3 linked regions of the Arabidopsis thaliana genome follow. The protein of the gene in region 2 interacts with the protein of the main gene of each other region in a pairwise test. Each region holds a gene or a part of one and is shown on either strand. Other genes may lie near its edges. The genes, in order: ATGRIP, RABH1c and POK.

What was found.
Region 1: the proteins of RABH1c (region 2) and ATGRIP come close enough for resonance energy transfer, tested with the Arabidopsis thaliana proteins (one study listed by BioGRID).
Region 3: the proteins of RABH1c (region 2) and POK come close enough for resonance energy transfer, tested with the Arabidopsis thaliana proteins (one study listed by BioGRID).

Annotation. Positions count from the first base shown.
Region 1 is NC_003076.8:26,404,340-26,412,021, reverse strand, and holds ATGRIP (Golgi-localized GRIP domain-containing protein), read left to right. Parts: upstream 1-1,666; 5' UTR 1,667-1,940; intron 1,941-2,077; 5' UTR 2,078-2,133; coding exon 2,134-2,539; intron 2,540-2,628; coding exon 2,629-2,744; intron 2,745-2,921; coding exon 2,922-3,091; intron 3,092-3,202; coding exon 3,203-3,296; intron 3,297-3,454; coding exon 3,455-3,541; intron 3,542-3,641; coding exon 3,642-3,722; intron 3,723-3,847; coding exon 3,848-3,973; intron 3,974-4,299; coding exon 4,300-4,408; intron 4,409-4,500; coding exon 4,501-4,580; intron 4,581-4,772; coding exon 4,773-4,901; intron 4,902-4,988; coding exon 4,989-5,089; intron 5,090-5,260; coding exon 5,261-5,394; intron 5,395-5,479; coding exon 5,480-5,577; intron 5,578-5,637; coding exon 5,638-5,757; intron 5,758-5,886; coding exon 5,887-5,935; intron 5,936-6,047; coding exon 6,048-6,106; intron 6,107-6,251; coding exon 6,252-6,323; coding exon of another isoform or gene 6,324-6,329; exon of another isoform or gene 6,330-6,394; coding exon 6,395-6,442; and 7 more. Other genes in the region: STR16 (sulfurtransferase protein 16), read right to left, coding at 883-957, 1,029-1,153, 1,217-1,290, 1,377-1,465; ATSAC1B (Phosphoinositide phosphatase family protein), read left to right, coding at 7,331-7,466, 7,554-7,637. UniProt on the Arabidopsis thaliana protein: Golgi matrix protein playing a role in tethering of vesicles to Golgi membranes and in maintaining the overall structure of the Golgi apparatus.
Region 2 is NC_003075.7:18,503,940-18,508,243, reverse strand, and holds RABH1c (RAB GTPase homolog H1C), read right to left. Parts: upstream 2,326-4,304; 5' UTR 2,133-2,325; coding exon 2,016-2,132; intron 1,667-2,015; coding exon 1,596-1,666; intron 1,511-1,595; coding exon 1,422-1,510; intron 1,342-1,421; coding exon 1,227-1,341; intron 1,134-1,226; coding exon 1,043-1,133; intron 947-1,042; coding exon 785-946; 3' UTR 541-784; downstream 1-540. Other genes in the region: AT4G39880 (Ribosomal protein L23/L15e family protein), read right to left, coding at 3,107-3,643; AT4G39870 (TLD-domain containing nucleolar protein), read right to left, coding at 3,969-4,055, 4,172-4,256. UniProt on the Arabidopsis thaliana protein: Protein transport. Regulator of membrane traffic from the Golgi apparatus towards the endoplasmic reticulum (ER).
Region 3 is NC_003070.9:26,862,038-26,869,703, reverse strand, and holds the start of POK (Vps52 / Sac2 family), read right to left. Parts: upstream 6,118-7,666; 5' UTR 5,969-6,117; coding exon 5,942-5,968; intron 5,842-5,941; coding exon 5,747-5,841; intron 5,647-5,746; coding exon 5,589-5,646; intron 5,417-5,588; coding exon 5,321-5,416; intron 5,185-5,320; coding exon 5,083-5,184; intron 4,928-5,082; coding exon 4,844-4,927; intron 4,758-4,843; coding exon 4,677-4,757; intron 4,280-4,676; coding exon 4,136-4,279; intron 3,736-4,135; coding exon 3,644-3,735; intron 3,357-3,643; coding exon 3,275-3,356; intron 2,992-3,274; coding exon 2,809-2,991; intron 2,343-2,808; coding exon 2,227-2,342; intron 2,138-2,226; coding exon 2,079-2,137; intron 1,839-2,078; coding exon 1,738-1,838; intron 1,366-1,737; coding exon 1,315-1,365; intron 1,065-1,314; coding exon 885-1,064; intron 795-884; coding exon 660-794; intron 509-659; coding exon 434-508; intron 333-433; coding exon 275-332; intron 192-274; and 1 more. Other genes in the region: ATWHY2 (WHIRLY 2), read left to right, coding at 6,313-6,344, 6,433-6,536, 6,611-6,714, 6,808-6,900, 6,989-7,083, 7,167-7,240, 7,449-7,537. UniProt on the Arabidopsis thaliana protein: Acts as a component of the GARP complex that is involved in retrograde transport from early and late endosomes to the trans-Golgi network (TGN). The GARP complex facilitates tethering as well as SNARE complex assembly at the Golgi.

The sequences.
Region 1 (7,682 bases), on a different chromosome or scaffold from region 2:
AAACGAAAGAGGGACGGTTACATACAGTGGGAAAGAAGAGATGTGGATTGTTGTGCCTTCATAAATGTCTACTTGTGGAAGACTAAGCAGTAAGTTAAAAGAAACGTGAATGATTTCCCCTGAAACGATGGTTACACAACACTCCCTTATTCACTTGGTTTTCGGGTTAAAGTTAGAAAAATAAAAGAGGTGGCCCAGCTTTGGTGCATTGAGAGTAGCAGAGTTATTAAATGCTTCGCAGAATTGCAGTTGCACATTCACTCCCTTCTTCTTCTTAATCTCCTTACAGTTACAGACATTCTCTCACTTGCGTTCTTGTTTCTTTTACAAAACAGATACACTATGTTTCCGAGAGAGTCCCTCTGATATTGGCCTGGTTCACTCAGATTCTCTTTTACTAACTCATCTGATTGAGCCGTGTCAATATCTCAGTCCTCTCTCGTCGCTTCTCTCGTATTTTGAAGTTTGCCTCGTTAGGTCACACCACTTGTTTTGTACACACGATCGAGTTGTTGATATGGTGTTGTTGTCTTTGTGTACTCATCGATCACTCAATATATACACATATATTGTCTGTTGCCAAGAACAGATGGACCTTTAAGGTAACAATCTTGTAGATATAATCGTTGATCGGATGCTCCTTTCTCCTTTCTAATTGATTTTTTTTTTAAACTATATATATAGAGATTTCGATGCAATCAACACACACTCGTATTTTTATATATTTTAAAAAGATGCGATGAGCCCCTCCCTCCAAGCTATCACATCAGACAGCAAAGAGAAAGGAGGGTCATTTATTGATGATTACATGCGGAAAGGATGCATTATTGAAGAAGAAGGAGACGAAGAGATAAGGAAAGATGTTTGGTGAATGGTGAGTCATCAAGCCTTTGTAGGAAGGCCATTCTTGGCCCAGGCACTATAGCCACCGACGATATCTTTGACTCCCGTGAAACCCTGCAAATTCGCAAATTATATATCACCAACAAAGTAAAAGTCAGAAAGAAGAGCTTTGTGGTGGAGCTTACTGCATGGAGAAGATCGGTGGTGGCTTTGATAGATCTACCACCGCTCTGGCAGCCAACAATGATGTTATCGGATTGTCCGAAATGGGAGGAGACTTGTTCCAGGAAGTCGGGGTTCTTTGACATCCCTGTTTCACAATCACAAAATTATATCCATCACTCAGTTATCAACTAACCAAATAAAAACATACCTGATGCTCCTCGATTCATGTAAGGCACGTTGATCGCCCCACAGGCATGTCCCTGGCTGAACTCTTCTGGAGTCCTATATTCATCATCCCCATTACATCAAGATCCTAATGATGCTATGTTGATGATTGAAATAGTCAAAAGAGAAAGGTGGGGCGGTACCTGACGTCTAGATAGCGGTGGCCGGCTAGAAGAAGGTCGTGGGCGACTGTTACCGACACCGATGATGGGACTCTGCTCTCCTCCGCCATTTTTTTCAATGGCTTATTATTATATTTGACTGGACAAAGACTTCAATAATTTCATTTTATATAAATTAGTTGGGAAAGTGATTATAATTGGGCCATATATTACAAATACATAATGGGCCTAAGTTGCTGCTTTATGGGCTAAGCTGTTTTCGGACTGTCCTTCATATTTTCATATTACCATTCCAAAACGGCATCATTTTAGCTAACCTCGTCTTGGGTTTACTTGATGAATTTTCAAAAGGTTTAAGGCTTCTGAATGCAATTATTCATTAGTAAAACACCCTTTACACAATTCTTACCATTCTTCGTCAGTCGATCAGATCAACGTTTTACCGTCTCACTGATCGACGGGAAAGAGACGACGACGTTTTTAACCTTTGGGTTGAGATCCGATCCAATATTTCGAAATCGTGATTCCTTGTTTGTGACCTCTCTCTCTCTGCCTCCACACTCTTCTCTAATCCCTCACCTCAAGGTAAGCTTCTTCTCTGGCACTGATTACATTCAAATCTCTCTTCTCCTTGCGTTGCTTTTGCTGGTTTATTCGAATTTCACGACTTGACTCCTTTCTCTTTTGATTGTTGATTCAAATCCCGATTTTGCGCTTACTAGTTGTCGTCGCTCTCTTGAGTGTCTGGGTTCATCTTTCTGACATCTGCTCTGCCAAGATGTCCGAAGACAAGGAATCTGATGTGGTTGGAGAAGAAGAGGAGAGCCATGTGATCAAAGAAGATAAAGAGTTAAATGATGCCTCCAACGAGACTCTGACAGAAAATGGTGATCAGCTACTCCAAATGATTGCTGAACTGAGATTAGAAAATGACTTTCTCAGATCCCAATTTGAGGGACTCAAGGATGAGGTAGCGCAAGGTAGGTCTCTCCAGAAAGCTGAGCAAGTGGAAGCGGACTCTGCTCAGCTGAAACAACTTCAAGAACAGGTCGCATCATTGAGCAGAGAAATTGATGTGGAAAAACAAACTCGAGTTGCAGCTGAGCAAGCTCTTGAGCATCTAAGGGAAGCATACTCTGAGGCTGATGCTAAATCCCAAGAATACTCCTCTAAGTTTTCCCAAGGTCAGAAGCCATCTTTTCTATTTGCTCATTCATTGACCGGAACCAGTGTTTGCCTTTTCTCAACTTGTGCTATTACATTGTTGGTGTAGTTGAACAGAAACTGGACCAGGAAATCAAAGAGCGCGACGAGAAATATGCCGACCTGGACGCCAAATTCACCAGGCTTCACAAAAGGGCTAAACAACGCATTCAAGAAATCCAAAAGGTGAATGTCTTTCTCTACATTTTATAATGCTTTCTGTTTTAGCCACTTTGAGGCTACTGTGAGTTTCAAAAACCATCTTATACTATTTCGGAATTTCTATGCTGCATTTTCAGACATATAGATTTCGCTGCTATGTGCTGTCTTAATCTCAGTGGTATATTATATTGCTATCTTCAGGAAAAAGATGATCTCGACGCCCGTTTCCGGGAAGTGAATGAAACAGCTGAACGAGCATCTTCTCAACACTCATCCATGCAACAAGAGCTGGAACGCACTAGGCAACAGGCGAATGAAGCACTTAAAGCAATGGATGCGGAGAGGCAACAACTAAGGAGTGCCAATAACAAGTAAATAATTCGAAGATAATTTTTACAGAAATTGTATAAAATGAATGTCGCCTTTCCCACTTCTCCAGCTACCTCTAAGAATTTGAGTACTGGAGTTTTCTCTTTACACAGGCTCAGGGATACTATCGAGGAACTACGTGGCTCATTGCAGCCTAAAGAAAATAAGATTGAGACATTGCAACAGTCACTTCTTGATAAGGACCAGGTTTGATCTCTTTCATTTTCTGTAATACTAGTCTGCAATATATAGAAAAATAGAGAGACAAAAGAGACAGAGAGAGAGAGAGAGAGGGGGGGGGGGGGGGGGGGGGGAGGGATGGCTCTGTATACTCTGCTTCATATGCGTACTTGCTTTAATCCTAGATTCTGGAGGACCTGAAAAAGCAATTACAAGCTGTGGAAGAGAGAAAGCAAATTGCAGTTACTGAGTTGTCAGCCAAGCATCAAAAGGTAGTCAGCATCAGCGATTGTGTTACTTCTTATATGCTATGAGCCACCATTTTCCGCTAATGACATCCAAGGTTTTCTCTTCTCTCCACCTTCTTGACAGAACTTAGAGGGTTTGGAAGCACAGGTCGTAGATGCTCTATCTGAGAGGGACAAAGCAGCCGAAACCATTTCGTCGCTGCAGGTTAGTCTTTTGACTAAATTCTTTAGTTCTATTACTGGATGATGTGCTTTGGTTTTCAAATGAGCGAGAGAGAATAGTTTGAAATAAGTGATAAATTCTTCACACCAAGTATACACCTCTTTTAGGTACTGCTTGCAGAGAAGGAATCTAAAATTGCAGAGATGGAGGCAGCTGCAACTGGCGAAGCAGCAAGGCTAAGGGCTGCTGCAGAAACTCTTAAAGGAGAGCTTGCACACCTTAAATCAGAGAATGTAAGTGGAATGTTTAAAGATGGATTCGCAGGACTCTCTGATGCCAACTGTCATTTGTCCTTCGTTATTGTTGCCCATTCGTATATTCTAAGACATTGTTTTGCATACTACTCGTCAAATGATTTCCATCATTTAGCAGATTTACTAGCATGGTTTTAACCAGGGAATGAATATAGGAGTGCGTATAGATAATTGTAAACATGATCTAAGGCGTCAGTCTGTCATCAGACAGCATGTTTAGAGTTTCTATTTGTTTGGCCATATAAATTCCTCTATTTTCTTTTGTTGTAATTCATAGAAGCCATGATTTTTTTTTGTTCCTTTAGGAAAAGGAAAAGGAGACTTGGGAAGCTTCATGCGATGCCCTTAAATCTAAACTGGAAATCGCTGAAAGCAACTACTTACAGGCCGAAATCGAAGTGGCTAAAATGAGAAGTAATTGACGGAGTTCATAAACGTTGAACTAATCTAGTTATGTTTTACTTTTGTCTATGGACTATAGACATTTCATTCATATAAATTGTCAGGTCAGCTGGGATCTGAAATGTCCATGCAGACCCAGATACTAAGCACAAAAGATGCGGAACTCAAAGGTGCAAGAGAAGAGGTACATAGTTTTCTTTTGGTTCTTTTGGAAACTATTGTAGCCTTGGTTAGGTGAACGAATTTATTAGTCATCCATTCTTAATCACATAACGTGAATTATTATGGAATCAAAGAGCCATTTTGAGCTTTAAGGAATGTTCTGCTTTAGCTAGTCTTCATTTAACCATATTGAATTCCTTGTAACTGTTCACAGATCAACCGGCTCCAAAGTGAATTCTCTTCTTACAAGATCCGTGCTCACGCGCTTTTGCAAAAGAAGGACATGGAGCTGGCTGCAGCTAAAGACTCTGAACAAATTAAATCTCTTGAGGAAGCTCTAAAGGTAAGTTATCTAGAATCTTAAGATGGAGATATTTTTAGATGGTTGCCAAGGTGCTTACCAACTAATTATCTTTTTGGGTGGTGTTAGGAAGCTGAAAAAGAAGTATATTTGGTATCTGCAGAGAGGGATAGGGCACAGCAAGATCTTCAGAGTGCTTTGGCTAGCCTTGAGAAAGAACTTGAAGAGAGGTATATATTGACACTGAATCTTTTTCATGTTTGATTCCGGAGGTTGGCTGCTCATTCTCCTCAATTTGCCAGAGAAAACAACTGAGAAATGGTGTTCTCAGGGGACTGGTTATGGAGTTCTTCAGACATATATTGGTCGTCTGAGCTATTTTTGTTTCATATATATTTCAGAGCTGGAGCACTTAAAGATGCCAGCGAGCAGATCAAAAGTCTTGAAGTGAAGCTTGACTCCACTGTTGCTCGCAATCAGGCGGAGAAACAAGCTTGGGAAGAAGACCTTCGGGTTTTAGAAGAAACATGGCGACGTAATTGATTCAAATCTAAATTCGGTTTTTTCATTAGTTCTTGGAAATTGAAATTCCCTTCCTAAAAGGCTACAGTAATCTATAGGAAGATGTGAAGCTTTGACCGCTCAAAATGAAGCCTCACCTGCAGAAGGTATAGAAAAAGAACTAGAAAATGCCAAACTGCGGAATAAACGAATGAAGGTAAATCACTTTTTGTTATACTCATAAAAAAGTTTTTTTGTCTAACTGACATACCTGCAGGAGGAGCATGAATCAGTACGTGAGCTTGCAGATAGACTCATTGAGGAGAAGGATCGAGAGATATCGAGACTTGTGGATGAGATGACAAATCTTCGAAAATCTATGGAGTCAAAACCAGTAGTATGTGGATGGTTCTTTTTTTTTTTTTTTTTGCTTATTACCTTACTTCTCCTTTTTATCTTTGGTTTTACGCTAGTAACTTTTCATTTAATTTGCACTGAAACTTTTCACTCTTCATGTGGCATTAAGTGGAACAAATCTCCATCCCAGGTTCACCACTATGGGAACAACAACACAGGTACAAGATGTTTTCCTGATACCATATTTTTTTAATAAGGGCTCCCTATATGAATGAATCAGTGGGTTCCCTGTCATCAATAACCTATTATTTTCTTTAAACGGGGTTTCAGAGTCACAACAGCAGGATGTATCTAACTTGAGCACTTCTGCAGCAGAGCACCAGATTCTGGTAGGATTTTGTAATGTTAGCTGTCTGCTTGTGTGAGCAAGGAGCGATCTTTAATCCTAGAACTTAATTTCCTTCAAATGTAATGCTATGGCCTACGGGACAAATCAGTGAGAGCTAATCATGACACATAATAATCAAATTTCAGATATTGGCAAGGCAACAAGCTCAGAGAGAAGAAGAGTTAGCACAGACACAGCGCCATATTTTAGCTCTTCAGGTGTAGTAGAATTGGTTGCATTGATCTGTTTCTGCACATGTTGCAATTAGTAACTGTTTATTCTGAATCAGGAGGAAATCGAGGAGCTTGAACGAGAAAACCGTCTTCACAGTCAACAGGTATGTGATTACACGAGAGTTTGGTTGCTTTGCCAGTTTCTTAGGATCTTATTTCAAACTTCCGGTGGTATGCTAAATTACAGGAAGCAGTGCTAAAGACGGAGTTGAGGGAGATGGAAAGAAAACAGAAGAGAGAAGGCGTGGATATGACATACCTAAAGAATGTGATATTAAAACTGCTAGAAACAGGTTAAAAAACCTGGAGATTAAAGGTGGATTCACGAAGTAGATGTTTTAGGGGTAAATTAACTTGTGATAATTGCAGGTGAAGTGGAGGCTTTACTACCTGTAGTGGGGATGTTGCTGCAGTTCAGTCCAGAGGAGATCCAGAAGTGTCAGCAAGCCTACCATAGCTCAACAACAGCGGCAACAACAACAGAGGCGACTCCAAGTCCGGCAAGTGAGGGTTCAGGTCTATCAGTCTTCTCAAGATTCTCGTTTTCATAGTCGGGTGGGCACTGGACACATTCTTTTGGGCCAAGATACATACACATACATACGACATTGTGTTTAAGTCCTTCGTTTTTGTGTAATGAACACTAAAAGTCAAGAAAACACTTTTTGTCCAGATGTAAAGAAAGGATAAGCCACTGAATTGAGTTGTTGGGCCATTTTTAATGGAGTCTATTGTAATCATGCAGAAAACCGCTGATTATCGGAATTAATGAAACTAAAAAAGTCAACGCAAAATTAACTACAAAGATAGTATAATAATAACGGTCGTCGACTTGTTGTTATTGGTCAACCGTTATGTACGGAATCAATTTGAACGGGTCTCACTCTCACTGCCTTGAAGGCCATTTTAATTGAGCGGAATTCATTTCGCCTACTAGTTTCAAATCTCGTAACGAAGAAGGTGATTGGTTCTTCTTCCTCTTGCTGGAAGCCATGGTGAGTAGGCTCAAGATACACTCTGGCTTGCGTTTGTGGGAATTCCCTGATCAGTACGTCATCGAGCCAACCGATGGTTCCTCCGCTTCATGTTTGGATATTAGTCGTCTTGACGGCTCCATGAAGCTCATTGGTGTGTTTCCTGTTTTTGCCTCGTTATATTGGAATCTTTTTGTTCTCTTATGCATGTATGTGTAATGCATCCTCTTGCCTGTCTCAGATCAAGTAGCAGAATGCAACTCTTTGCGTGTCCCTAAAATCCGCTCCATTTTCGGTGTGGTTGGGATGCTGAAGCTCCTGGCAGGTGAAATTTCAGAGATCCTATCGAATAATTAATCTATTTGTGAAT
Region 2 (4,304 bases):
AAGTTTCATTGAGTTGATAACACTAACGAATGTTTGAAGGCTCAATAAAAAAGTAAAACAAGAGAAGAACAAATAAAGGATAACGTTTTTCGTTTTCCAAGAAGAGAAGAAACAACAAAACCTTCCCGCCGATAATCGTAGTGGCCAAAACAAACGCCAATGGAAGCCTTGTTAAGGAAGACAAGGTTTACGGAGTGAAATGGTTTGAAGGAAGTGTTTATTACTCTCCCAGTGATGGTAAATGGGGAAGAACGAATAGGCCACATCTTTTGAGTTATTGTGTAGTTGAGGAATTGTTGTTATACGGTACCGATATGAGCTTCCGGTGAGTGTTTTGGCAAGAGTCTGAGGAATCAGAATGGAAGATAGTTAAAGGTTTGGAGGCTCTAAGAATATCAGTCAAGTGAACAGTTTTGGTGTGAACATTGTTCTCTTCTGGCTTGAGCGTAATGATGATGATGAGAGATTGGATGTTTGGTGTGCCGAGATTTCGTTCGAAAGGTGAGATTTGGGGTACAATTGAGTGGAAGGAAGCTGTCACCACAGTTGATCCTTCTCCCTTTGGTTCATTTGGTGGTGATCAGAATAAGGTTTTGTATTCTGCTACCGTCAATGTCTAAAACAGATCAAATACAGAACAAGGCAAAAGATTCACATGTGTAAAAATAGTAATCCTTTTCTCTTTGATGTTTTATATTCTGTGTCAGTTAATAAGATGAAAACCACAAAACTAACGTGATCCCTTTTGTTTGCTTCACAAGTTTTGGAATTATGTATTTTTGAATCAACAAGAACAGCCTCCACCACCACCTGCTCCTCCTTGTTGCTCACCTTGTGATGAATTTGAAGTGGTCTTTAGATTCACATCAACCATGTCATCTGATTTTGTTGCCAATGAATATGAGTCTACCCCGGGTAAAGCTGCAGCAATCTTCCGGAACAAAGCCTGCAAATTGAAGAGATTTGGTGTGTTTAGAAATCAGACAACAAGAAACACTCAAATGAACATCACTCCATACTCTTTGTTGAAGTTTTGTCATACCTTAATGTTGAAGTTTTCTTTGGCACTGGTCTCAATGAACATCACTCCATACTCTTTACCCTTGTCTTCTCCTTCACTGATTGATACTTGCCTGTTTTTCATTATATCAAGATTGACATATATAAGACAAGAGAGAATTATATAGTCCATCCCATCCAATTCTTTGCTTAATGTTTGTATTTACCGTTTTTCAACAAGATCAGTTTTGTTTCCAACAAGAACGATGATAACATTGCTTTGACCTCTTTCTCTGTGAACATCCTCAATCCATTTCGAGGTATTCAGAAACGTTTGCCTATCTGCAACACAAAGTATTGATTGAACACATAAGAACACAAAAAAGAAGGTGAATCAAAGAGAGAAACAAAGGTGGACTTACTGGATACATCGTATACAACAATGGCAACAGAAGAATCTCTGATGTAACTTGGGATTAGACTCCTGAATCTTTCTTGTCCAGCAGTATCCCTTTCAATCAAAACTTGTTTTGTTATTGCTTTTGAAATTAACATGTTAGTTTTTAGGTAAAGAGCAAAAGTAACATTGTTCTCACCATAGCTGCAAACGAACTGTTCGATCTTCGAGGTACATTGTTTTCGATAGAAAATCGATTCCAATGGTAGGCTGCAGAGAGTCAGAGAGAACACAAATAAAGGCTTAATGACTAACTAAGAAAGCAAAGAAGCAACAGTGCTTAGCATCATCGATCTTGATCATAATAAGAAGAAGAGATTGATAAATCAACCAAAAAAACAGAGAGCAGAGTGATCAAACAAATGCATTGAAGAAAAACCAGAGTGATATCAGCGACGTAATCTAGGACCAATATGAGATGAAATCGTCTGAACAATCGTAATATAGGAAATAATGAATCAGATCAAACAATAAAAAAACGAAAACAAAAGAAACTTGTTGTCGCAGAGAAGAATTTAAATGAATAAACAAAACAAGTGAAAGGAATCTGTGTAAATACCTGGTACGTGGTGTCGAATTTGTCATACATGAAACGAGTGATGATGCTGGTTTTTCCGACAGATTGGTCTCCTAAGAACACCAGTTTAAACTTTGCCAAAGGTGAAACCGAAGCCATATGTTCCGTTCCGTTGGAAGAAGAAGGAAAAAAAGAAAAAGTGTGATTCAAAGATCAGAAGAATCAGAGTCTCGTCTTTCTTAGGTCTCGACGATGAAGAAGAAGGAGAGCACGACGACGATGACTCGGTCGCACACAAACTTGACAACCTTCACAAAATCGCCACGCGCCCAAATATATTCAACGATTTCCGCGGAGACTTTATATAAGAAGCGCGTCGATGCGGTTGGGTGTATCTGTGTTTAAAAAAAATAATATTTTTTAATGATGAATGTTTTCTAAAATTTCTATGATCAAAGTCTTCTTCATTAATCTTTTAAATCGTTATTTGATTAATTAAAACCTAAACCAAAAAAAGACCTTTAAGCCAAACAAATTTTTGTTAGTTTGTGAAGATACTAGGTGAGTAGTAGCCTAGTTGTAATCTGTAATGAATACCAAAATCTGAACTAACAATTATTTTAACAATTATTTAGTAAACACCAAGCTACTAGTCCACAAAGTGATGAGATTTTTGGGATGATCAGAGATGACTATATTTATTGGCTAATGTAGTGATTTGTCACAATTTTATCATACGTTTTGCATCTGCGTAATGTGATCGAACATTTGAACATAAGCCCCAAATCCACAAACAATAAGACTAATAAGAGGTTTCTCAAAACTTGAACAGACAAACAAAGCACCATCACCAGAGTTAATCCCCTTAAGCATTCTTATAGATTGCAATTAAGAAAAAAAGCTTTAGAACTCGGGAGCAGCAAATATCATATAGCTAATCAGAGATCACTAAGAGAAAGATTACAAACAATTGGAAACATCTTGATTCAGATTTATTAGCCAAATCTCAGAAACACTGAGAGCTTCAATGATTCAGATTCTCAATACACAAACCTCAAGTAATAGAAACAACAAAATCAATAATCCGATAGCTAAAGAAACACAAACCCCAGATCATAATCTGCTCATAAACCCTACTTACCAACAAATCTCATGTTGCTCCATGGAAACTTGGCCGTCCCCGCCGCCGCAGCACCACCTCTCGTCGGAGAGTTAGCCCTTTCACCACCTCGACGACCTTTACCTTTACCATAACCACCAATCTCCCTCTTCTCCTTACGATCAAGCCAATGACTCTTCTTATCATCTTCTTCCTCAACAAAGCTAGATCCTTTCACTTTACTCTTCCTATCTTCCTCGATATACTTCACCGGAAACAAATCCCTAGAAATCGACAATGGACTACGTAGCGTGACGTAAGCCTTCTTGTAATCAGCTTTCGCTATCAACAAACCACCACGCTTCTTCTTCTTCCCATCCATGTTTAAAGTATTCACCTTCTCCACATCGAATCCGTAGAGCGACTCCAGGACTCGCTTGATCTCGATCTTGGACGCGGAAGGAATCGTTTTCAACGCGAATTCGTGAATGTTGGTCAGCTTCGCAGGCATCAGAAGCTTAATCGGAAGATTCGCGAAATGAACCACTCGTCCTCCCAATCTACTCCCCATTTTCAAATCGGAGCTGAGCTTTTAGGTCAGAAATGAAAAGCAGTAGCAAGGGTTTTTCTTCTTTGATTCTTCCCCACTAAAATTAATCCCTCTTCACACACACATATGCTTTAATGGGCCTTAATGGGCCGAATGAGCCTAATAGGTGGTTTTATTTTGTTATTTCAAAATCATCATTACAAGTGAGAGAGAGTAACATATATGTGATTTTAGCCAAGTTACAAGACAACAAGATTTCTTTTACTACAGATTTATACAACAACAACAACAACAACAACAAAAAGACGAATCTCAGTTGAATTCATTTGGGTTTTCTTTATAATGATCATGACCATCTGCAAAGACCAGGCTCCATTGTTTTGCTGTGAGCTAGAATCTCATCATACTTTGAGCCATACACAAATCCCCATAGCTGCAACAATCAATCAACCAATGGTGTGTTTGTTTGCTTGTTTCAGTTAAAAGGTGTTGCAAAATATTGAAATATAAAGCTTTTATTTTTCAAGGAGAGGGATGAAATTTAACTACCTCCACTTCCTTAACATCAAAGTCCTGAGAGTCTGCGAGACAAGAGTTCCCATACGTCTCTGAGTAAGCGCTCGATCCGCTTAGCCTATAAGAACACAATGGATCAATCGATTTGAGGAAAAATGCCTTGTTG
Region 3 (7,666 bases), on a different chromosome or scaffold from region 2:
GTAATAGAGCAATAGTTGTGTCAATGCAGCTCTCAAAATATCCATACCACACAAGAAGTTACTGAAGGAAGTTATGATGTCTTTGTCCATCAACTCAATCGCTGTCTTCCATCTGCTTCCAAAGTCCTTCACCAGTGGCTCTACTTCAGCAATTGTAATGGACCTCTCTGGATTTAAGCTCGAATCCTCAGCTGCCACATATCTTACAGTTTAGTGGTTTTTCAACTTAACACTCGATGAGTACGTGAAGAAAAGAAAGAAACAAGTTGCTTACAAGCTCGATTTTTCACGAATTTGATCAAATCACTGAAATGCTCCACCAGCAGTTCTTCCTACGAGTTAACATCAGATTTAAGGTTAGGCTACTACAAAGACAGTTTTATGTTATACCCATGAAGCAAATTACAAAGGTAACCTAGTATTTGCCCCTTACCACAAATAATGAAGTGTTACTCTTTAGCATTTCCTCAAAATGCATTTGAATTTTCCCACCTTCTGGTCCAGCTTCCTAAAATACAGGAAGATGATCAAAACAGATTCTTTTGGTAGGTCAGACTCAATTAGTTAAGCCTTGAGATTCGTAGAAAGCCATTTCAAACCAAGAAAACACTGGTCCACATGGGTGCACTTAACATGAGACGGCCAAGGATTCAACTCACCTTCAGTACAGCGATTGTCATATCGTAGTTATTTATGAGAAACACAATTTGCTGCTTTGGCCTTGGGAACAACTTTGCAAGCTTGAGAATCAACCCATCTACAGCCATTCTTAACCGCTCCAGATTTATATCAAGCTGCAGCGGTTCATATATAGTGTCAAGCGATTTGAGTGATGAGAACAGGTAATACATATCACTAGAGACAGAAGCAATCTTATAACGAACCTGCCCATCTCCATATTCAACGTTTAGGTGAATAAACGAAGCCGTGAATTCAGCATAACGCCTCATGACATAGTGAGGATGAACATCATCTTCCCATAATGTCTTAATGTTTGCATCTCTCAGACTGCTAAGGTGTGAGTCAAACACCATCTTGAAACGAGGCCACAAAGAAATATTAACCTGCTCAATTTCCAAAATAAAAGATTCATTGAGAGAGGACTATGAAACCTAAGGAAATCAAACCATAGCCGCATCTATAAGCTTATATCTAAGATCTATACAAGACCTTCAAAGTTATACCAAAAAGAAAACATTTAGCGACCAAGTGAAAACAGCTGAAGATGAGCACAATAATAATGAACTCTTTTTATTGCACCATACATATTTAAATGTTGATCAAACATAATAAAAGAGATAGAGAGGTATGAACCTTGTCCAGATATGAGTCCAGGCATGGAATTCTCCGGCGAGACATGATAAGCTGTAAAAAAGGTGGGAAAGTATTGCTTAACTATTAGTGGACATATAATACCATCATGACCCTTGCAAAAGGCTGGATCATGAAAATAAGTAATATAAGCTACACTAGATTATCATACTGTTGAGAAAAAATATAGACTGGTTGTAATACGCCTATGTGGACCAGTTGAAGGTATATCTACATCGTTAGTTTGCAAGATATTAAGAGAACTCTTTCCAATGCCAAGTTGATAAATATCTAACCATACTTCAATGCATTCTCACATATGTGGGAGACTAGAAAAGTTCAAAAGGGAAGAAGCTAAATAAATTACCTAATTCCAAGATATTCACCAAAACGCAGATAAACTAGTAGTTAGGTCATCGTTAATACCTGGTGGTGGTGTATTATGCGAATCATAAGCATCAGGCCAATAGCATCAAAACAGTTTGAAAGAACGGGATTGAAGTGCTCATCGATGACAGAAAATGGACCTGTATCATTTAAATTTTAGAATTTATCCAAAAAACTGCTACAATTATCATATCCATTGTAAAGTACAAGAGGTTCAGCTTTCTATCCGGAAGAAGAGAAGATAATTTCTTACACGCTGCTCAACACCATATCAAATTTGGTATACCAGTATTACAGGAAAAACAGATGTTCTTCTACACAGCTAACAAAATCCACAAAGTTTGGTACAGCAAAAGGAAGGGAGACAGATTAGAAATTACCCGCAAAAATTTCATAGAATATGGACTCTTCACCAAAGAAATCATCACAAAACATATACCTGTTAAAATGAAAACAAATGACGTTAACCAGGGGGTTGAGCGATGAGCGACAATAACACAAATATAAAAGGGGAAAAATCAACAGAACTCAGAAGTAGCTGTATCCATAAGTAGCTTGTGCAGGCTCCTGAAGAGCACTTCATAAGGATATTTGAGAGAGCTGGCTTCGGCTATGTGCGGGATCAAAGCAGGTTGATCAATATCCTACAGCGGTCATACTGAAACTTAAGTCTTTTAACGAATATTGTTAAACCAAACAAACTTTGGATTTACTTCTTCTATAGCAAAAAAAAACAAATTGATACCACACTAATCCAAATTGAAAATGAGAAAAACAAATCGAAACTTCCATCTATTTGAGGAGCCTTTAAAATTAAGGATACATATCGTAAAAACCAAAACTGAAATGAACCAAAATATTTGATTCCTATAATTTATAACCTAAGACTAAAATATCTGAACCAAAACCAAAGTGGGCACTCCTCAATAAAACTTATGGTGTACAATACATTAATATAACTTATACTTTATTTGTAAAGACGCAGACCTAGTACCATCTTTTGTATTAAAGAGTCAGAAGAGCAACTCATTTTATATAACAAATTCGCCAGAGCATGTAGAATGGTCGAAAAAATCAATCAAAAAATGATAACTGCTGAATGATGCATACCTTTATAATTTTTATCCTGTCACCCAAAGCAAAAACGGCAGAGCGGTTCTTTAGTGGCTCCCTAGCTCTTGAGAAGAGGCCGGTGGTTCTGGTCTCTACCCCAATTAAGTCATATGCTGTGGCTATATCTAACTGTAGTTTCTCAAGTGCTTGAATATAAGCACGAAAATGTGCACTTAACACCTGAAACAAGATCATACAATACATAAGGTGTAATAACATTTAAAAGCCTAAGCTAGCAAACAGCATTTTTATCTAACCAACTAGCTTTGTCCAATTATAGTTAGAAAACAAGAATAGAAGAATTACTTGCATGTAACGTACAATTGGATGTTGTATCCACTACCTTGCATATGCGGAGAATAACCTTAGTCAAATCTATCTGTGTATTCTTCCTCATTCAACTAAGACTATATAAAGGAGTTGCAGCATAGTGTAAGAAATCAAACAAGATAAAGAATATCACCTTGTTCATGGTATCAATGTATGCAGCACGAACATCCATAAACACTTCTTTTCCATGTTCCTTGAGGAAGGAGATAATATACCTATCATTAAATTGTAATTGGTGAATGAAGTATGTATCCACATAAGTCTTGTAGAAGCAATATAATATCAAGTTGGATATCAGTAACATGTAAAATAAAACAACTCCGTCAACATCACAAAGGGAAAATCCAAACCAAGATAACTAACCAAAACGTTTGTAAGGTGATGACCACATACACATGCAGAAAAAGTTAACAGAAACATACATGCAAGACAGGAGACGTTGTACAATTTGTAGTTTCACTACGTCAAAACCAATTAAAGGGGCTTGGAGAGCATAACTCACTTGTACTTTAATAACACACTCTGTTGAAGAATCTGAATGTTTGTTTTGGGTTTCCTCAGGGCTATAAGCTTCTGGACAATAAAATCATACACCTGCAAAACGAATTTAAATCTATTGCATGAGAACAAATTTAGAATGCTCCATCGACGTGCAGTCGTGCATGCCCTTTCAGCATTGGACGAGAACAAACACAAATGACTTAATACAGAACTAAAAGTTGAATTTATCGCAGATGGCAACTTTTTCCTGGCCATAAATTCTTTCAGAGGGAAGGAACAATGATTCATCTCATTGAGGTAGAATAAGTTGAGTTATATCAGGAACTTAACTTTTCTGTAGTTTTTTATCAAACAATTAACAACTTTAAGAAATATGCATGTATCAGTGTGTTTTGAGAGTCAATAGGTACAGTTATGTTTGGACCTATCACACTCCCTTCAGCGAAATATATAAGTTTTTGGTATCAAGTAACAGAGAAAGTAGATCAATAACCTTGGAAATAGCTTTCTGCCGAAGCTTTTCGAGCTCAGGCTCTACATCTTTTAACGCTTTGGAACTTTTAACTGCCTGATCTGCTTCTACAAATTTTAGCTTCTTACTCAGAATTTCAAGCGTTTTCATATACTCTTCATTCACCTGAATAAGGAAAATAATACGACTATCAGATTAGCAATAAAAATACCCTCAGCAATCCAACCTAGGCTTAAATGCACCACTATGGTTTTACAAAAAAAACACGTACTCAGGGGACATAAAGATAGGACTAAATGGTGTAAGAAAACAAAATGAAGAAAATTTAATAAATTTTAGTATTGCACATAGGGGAAGCATATACCAAGCTTAACCAGAAAATGTTGTTTTTCTATTTTTCCTCCATGTTTCAGATTACAACATATGCACCAAATCAGTAATTCTTATAGCACCAGAAACAAAAAGAAAAATTAGACATGTATACAACATGACGAGATCCTACAAAATTCCTACAAATCTCCAACCCTACCAAAGCTACATAAAAAGTGAATTTGAAAAATACCTCTCCGTCAACAATTACATCTATCATCTTTGGTGGCACTATAATGTCTTCGACAAATTTTGCTAGCTTTGATTCAGCCACCTATTCAAATAGAAGAGTTCATTTGGATGAGTCACGAGTGAAAGCAGCAAGAGATAATACCAATAGTGGTTTCTGATTAGCTATACCCTGCGGTTTTTCAATCTCAAACCCATGTCCATTGACTTTTCTTGAAGAATCTTTATGTCTGAACTTATAGAACCAATCTCTTCCTGAAAGAAAAGAAGCAAAGTGCACATTTAGATTACCAGGAAAAAATATATGTATTTCAAAGTAAAAAAATTCCTCCCATTAAGCAAAAGTCAGAATAAGGAGAAAGAAGCACATACATACACACAAATTATATAAATGTCTAATTTTCAAATACCTGAAATCCACTGAGAAGAGTTTCCATTTGTGACAGGATGCTGTCACAGTCACGAATCTGATCGTGAAGTGAGACTAGGTTGTCACTTTCCTTTATGTAATCCTGAGTATTCATGGAATGTAAAGCATTTAAGTTAGTTACTTACGATATCAAAGAAATTCCCGAACTTATAGACGGAAGTACATAAAAAGTAGAAAACAACAAGTGCCACAATGTAGCACAGGTAGAGAATAACAACCTCGATTGAATCCAATTCAACCTTGCGTAGATTGTTTTCAACCCCTTTTGCATATTCTCTAAGTTTGTCACCACTAGACAGTATATTGGCAACAACCTGACATTTCACACAAACAAGATAGAAAGGACATCATATCCATGGATCTAACATTCTATGATCAATCCATGTACTCCAAAGTAACTCAAATGAGAGTAGAAACAATACTTCGAAAAAGAAGAACCGAGGTGCTAGCTTTATAAGTTTGATCTCAGTTAAGTGAATAACTTACCTCATCACTTTCACATTCTTCAAGTTCTTGTTGAAGCCCTTCCAATGAAATATCCTCACTGCCAAACAAATCAAAGGAGAGCATTCTAATCAGAAGAACAAAGAGAAGCAGAAACATATGTTATAGTCGAATTAAGATACAAAACATGAGAACGTTACCTGCCTGAATCTTCTTCAAAAGCCAAGTCTCCAACAAATGCTCCTAAATCAAATCCAAGTTTCTCATGATTACTAAAGTCCCCCATAGTTTGGCCCTATGAATTTCAGATAGAAGAGCAAAGCGAATTAGACAAGAGATCATAAAGGATCCATGATTAAGGCTAGAAGATCACGAATGCAAAAAAAATGAAGTACCAATGCGTCAATGGAAATGTCGGACATCTTCCTAATGAGATTAAGAGTTGAAAGATCTTCAACTAGAAAACGAAATCAGAATCCTCGAAATCAGTTTGAGTCCGCCATTAGAGAGTCTTCTTCTTCTTCTTCTTCTTCTTCTTCTTCTTCTTCTTCTTCTTCAGCTTCACCTTTCTCAGATTCGTTCGTCTTCTCTAATCTGATTTTTAATTTCCCAATCAACAATAAAGGCCCATTGGGCCGTTAAAAGACTTATATATAAAACAAACGGGTTAAAATATGGGTCGCCCGATAAAACCCGTTTTGATAAATCATAAAACCTCAGAAGTCGGAAGACCTCAAGTGATGCTTTTTACTCGAGACAGAAGAAGATGATGAAGCAAGCCCGCTCTTTGCTCTCCAGGTTACTTCAGTTCCTCTCAAAATTCAGATTTTAGATTTCATTACTCTTAAAATGGCTTCTCTGGGTTGGTTTGTTTTTGTTAAAGCAGGAGCCTTTGTGACCAAAGTAAGTCACTTTTCGAAGCTTCGACGTTGCGTGGTTTTGCAAGCTGGTCAAATTCTTCAACCCCTGGACGTGGATTCCCTGGTAAAGGTAAGAACTTGGTTTGTTTCCGTTTCGTCAGTTTAAGTGTACTTGCCCTAATTTTGTTTGCTTGATTTGAGAAGATGCCGCAAAGCCTAGTGGTCGATTGTTCGCACCTTATTCTATCTTCAAAGGAAAAGCTGCTCTCTCTGTTGAACCTGTTCTTCCCAGTTTCACTGAAATCGATGTAAGCCCAAAATCCATTTCTTTTTAGTTTTGTGTGTTCTCTTTAAAGGCTTCTTTTAGATTCTCATTACTTACTGTGAGTACAATTGTTTAGTCGGGAAATCTTCGGATAGATCGTCGTGGATCCTTAATGATGACTTTTATGCCTGCTATTGGTGAGCGTAAGTACGACTGGGAAAAGAAACAGGTATTGATCTTTTTCACACTCTCTATCTTCTTCACTTGTCTCTTCTTTCTCCTCTGATAAATTTGGTTTGTTTCCTACATTATTGCAGAAATTTGCTTTGTCACCTACTGAAGTTGGATCCTTAATTAGCATGGGTTCCAAAGACAGCTCCGAGTTTTTCCATGACCCTTCCATGAAATCAAGGTTTGTCTTTTTTTGCTTCAATACATTATATTTTTATCGCAGCATTTTCATGTTCTGACATAGACTTGTCTTTGACTCCTCAGTAATGCTGGTCAAGTCAGGAAGTCACTGTCAGTTAAGCCCCACGCAGATGGTAGCGGCTACTTCATCTCATTGAGTAAGGCTTCTATCAAATTAACATGGATAATCAGTACTGAAATACTTAGTTATGGGAGCTTTCTGTTTAGTAAATTTAGAAGCTTGCACTTGTATTAGTTTTGTAATATGGCGATAACAGTTTTCGCACAGAATAGCTGTCTTATAACAATAGGAATGCTGAATTCTTAATGCTGTATAAACACTTACCTTCTGCGGTTTTGTTGCAGGCGTTAACAATAGCATCCTCAAAACCAATGACTATTTTGTGGTTCCTGTCACAAAAGCTGAATTTGCAGTGATGAAGACAGCTTTTAGTGTAAGATAAGATTTTTATTCTGCGTTCTCTATATTCTGTTACTATTATATCAGTTCGAGAACCAAAAACATTGACTAGAAAAACCAAGGGCATTGCTTCTCTGTCAGTTTTAGCACATGAATCTGGATC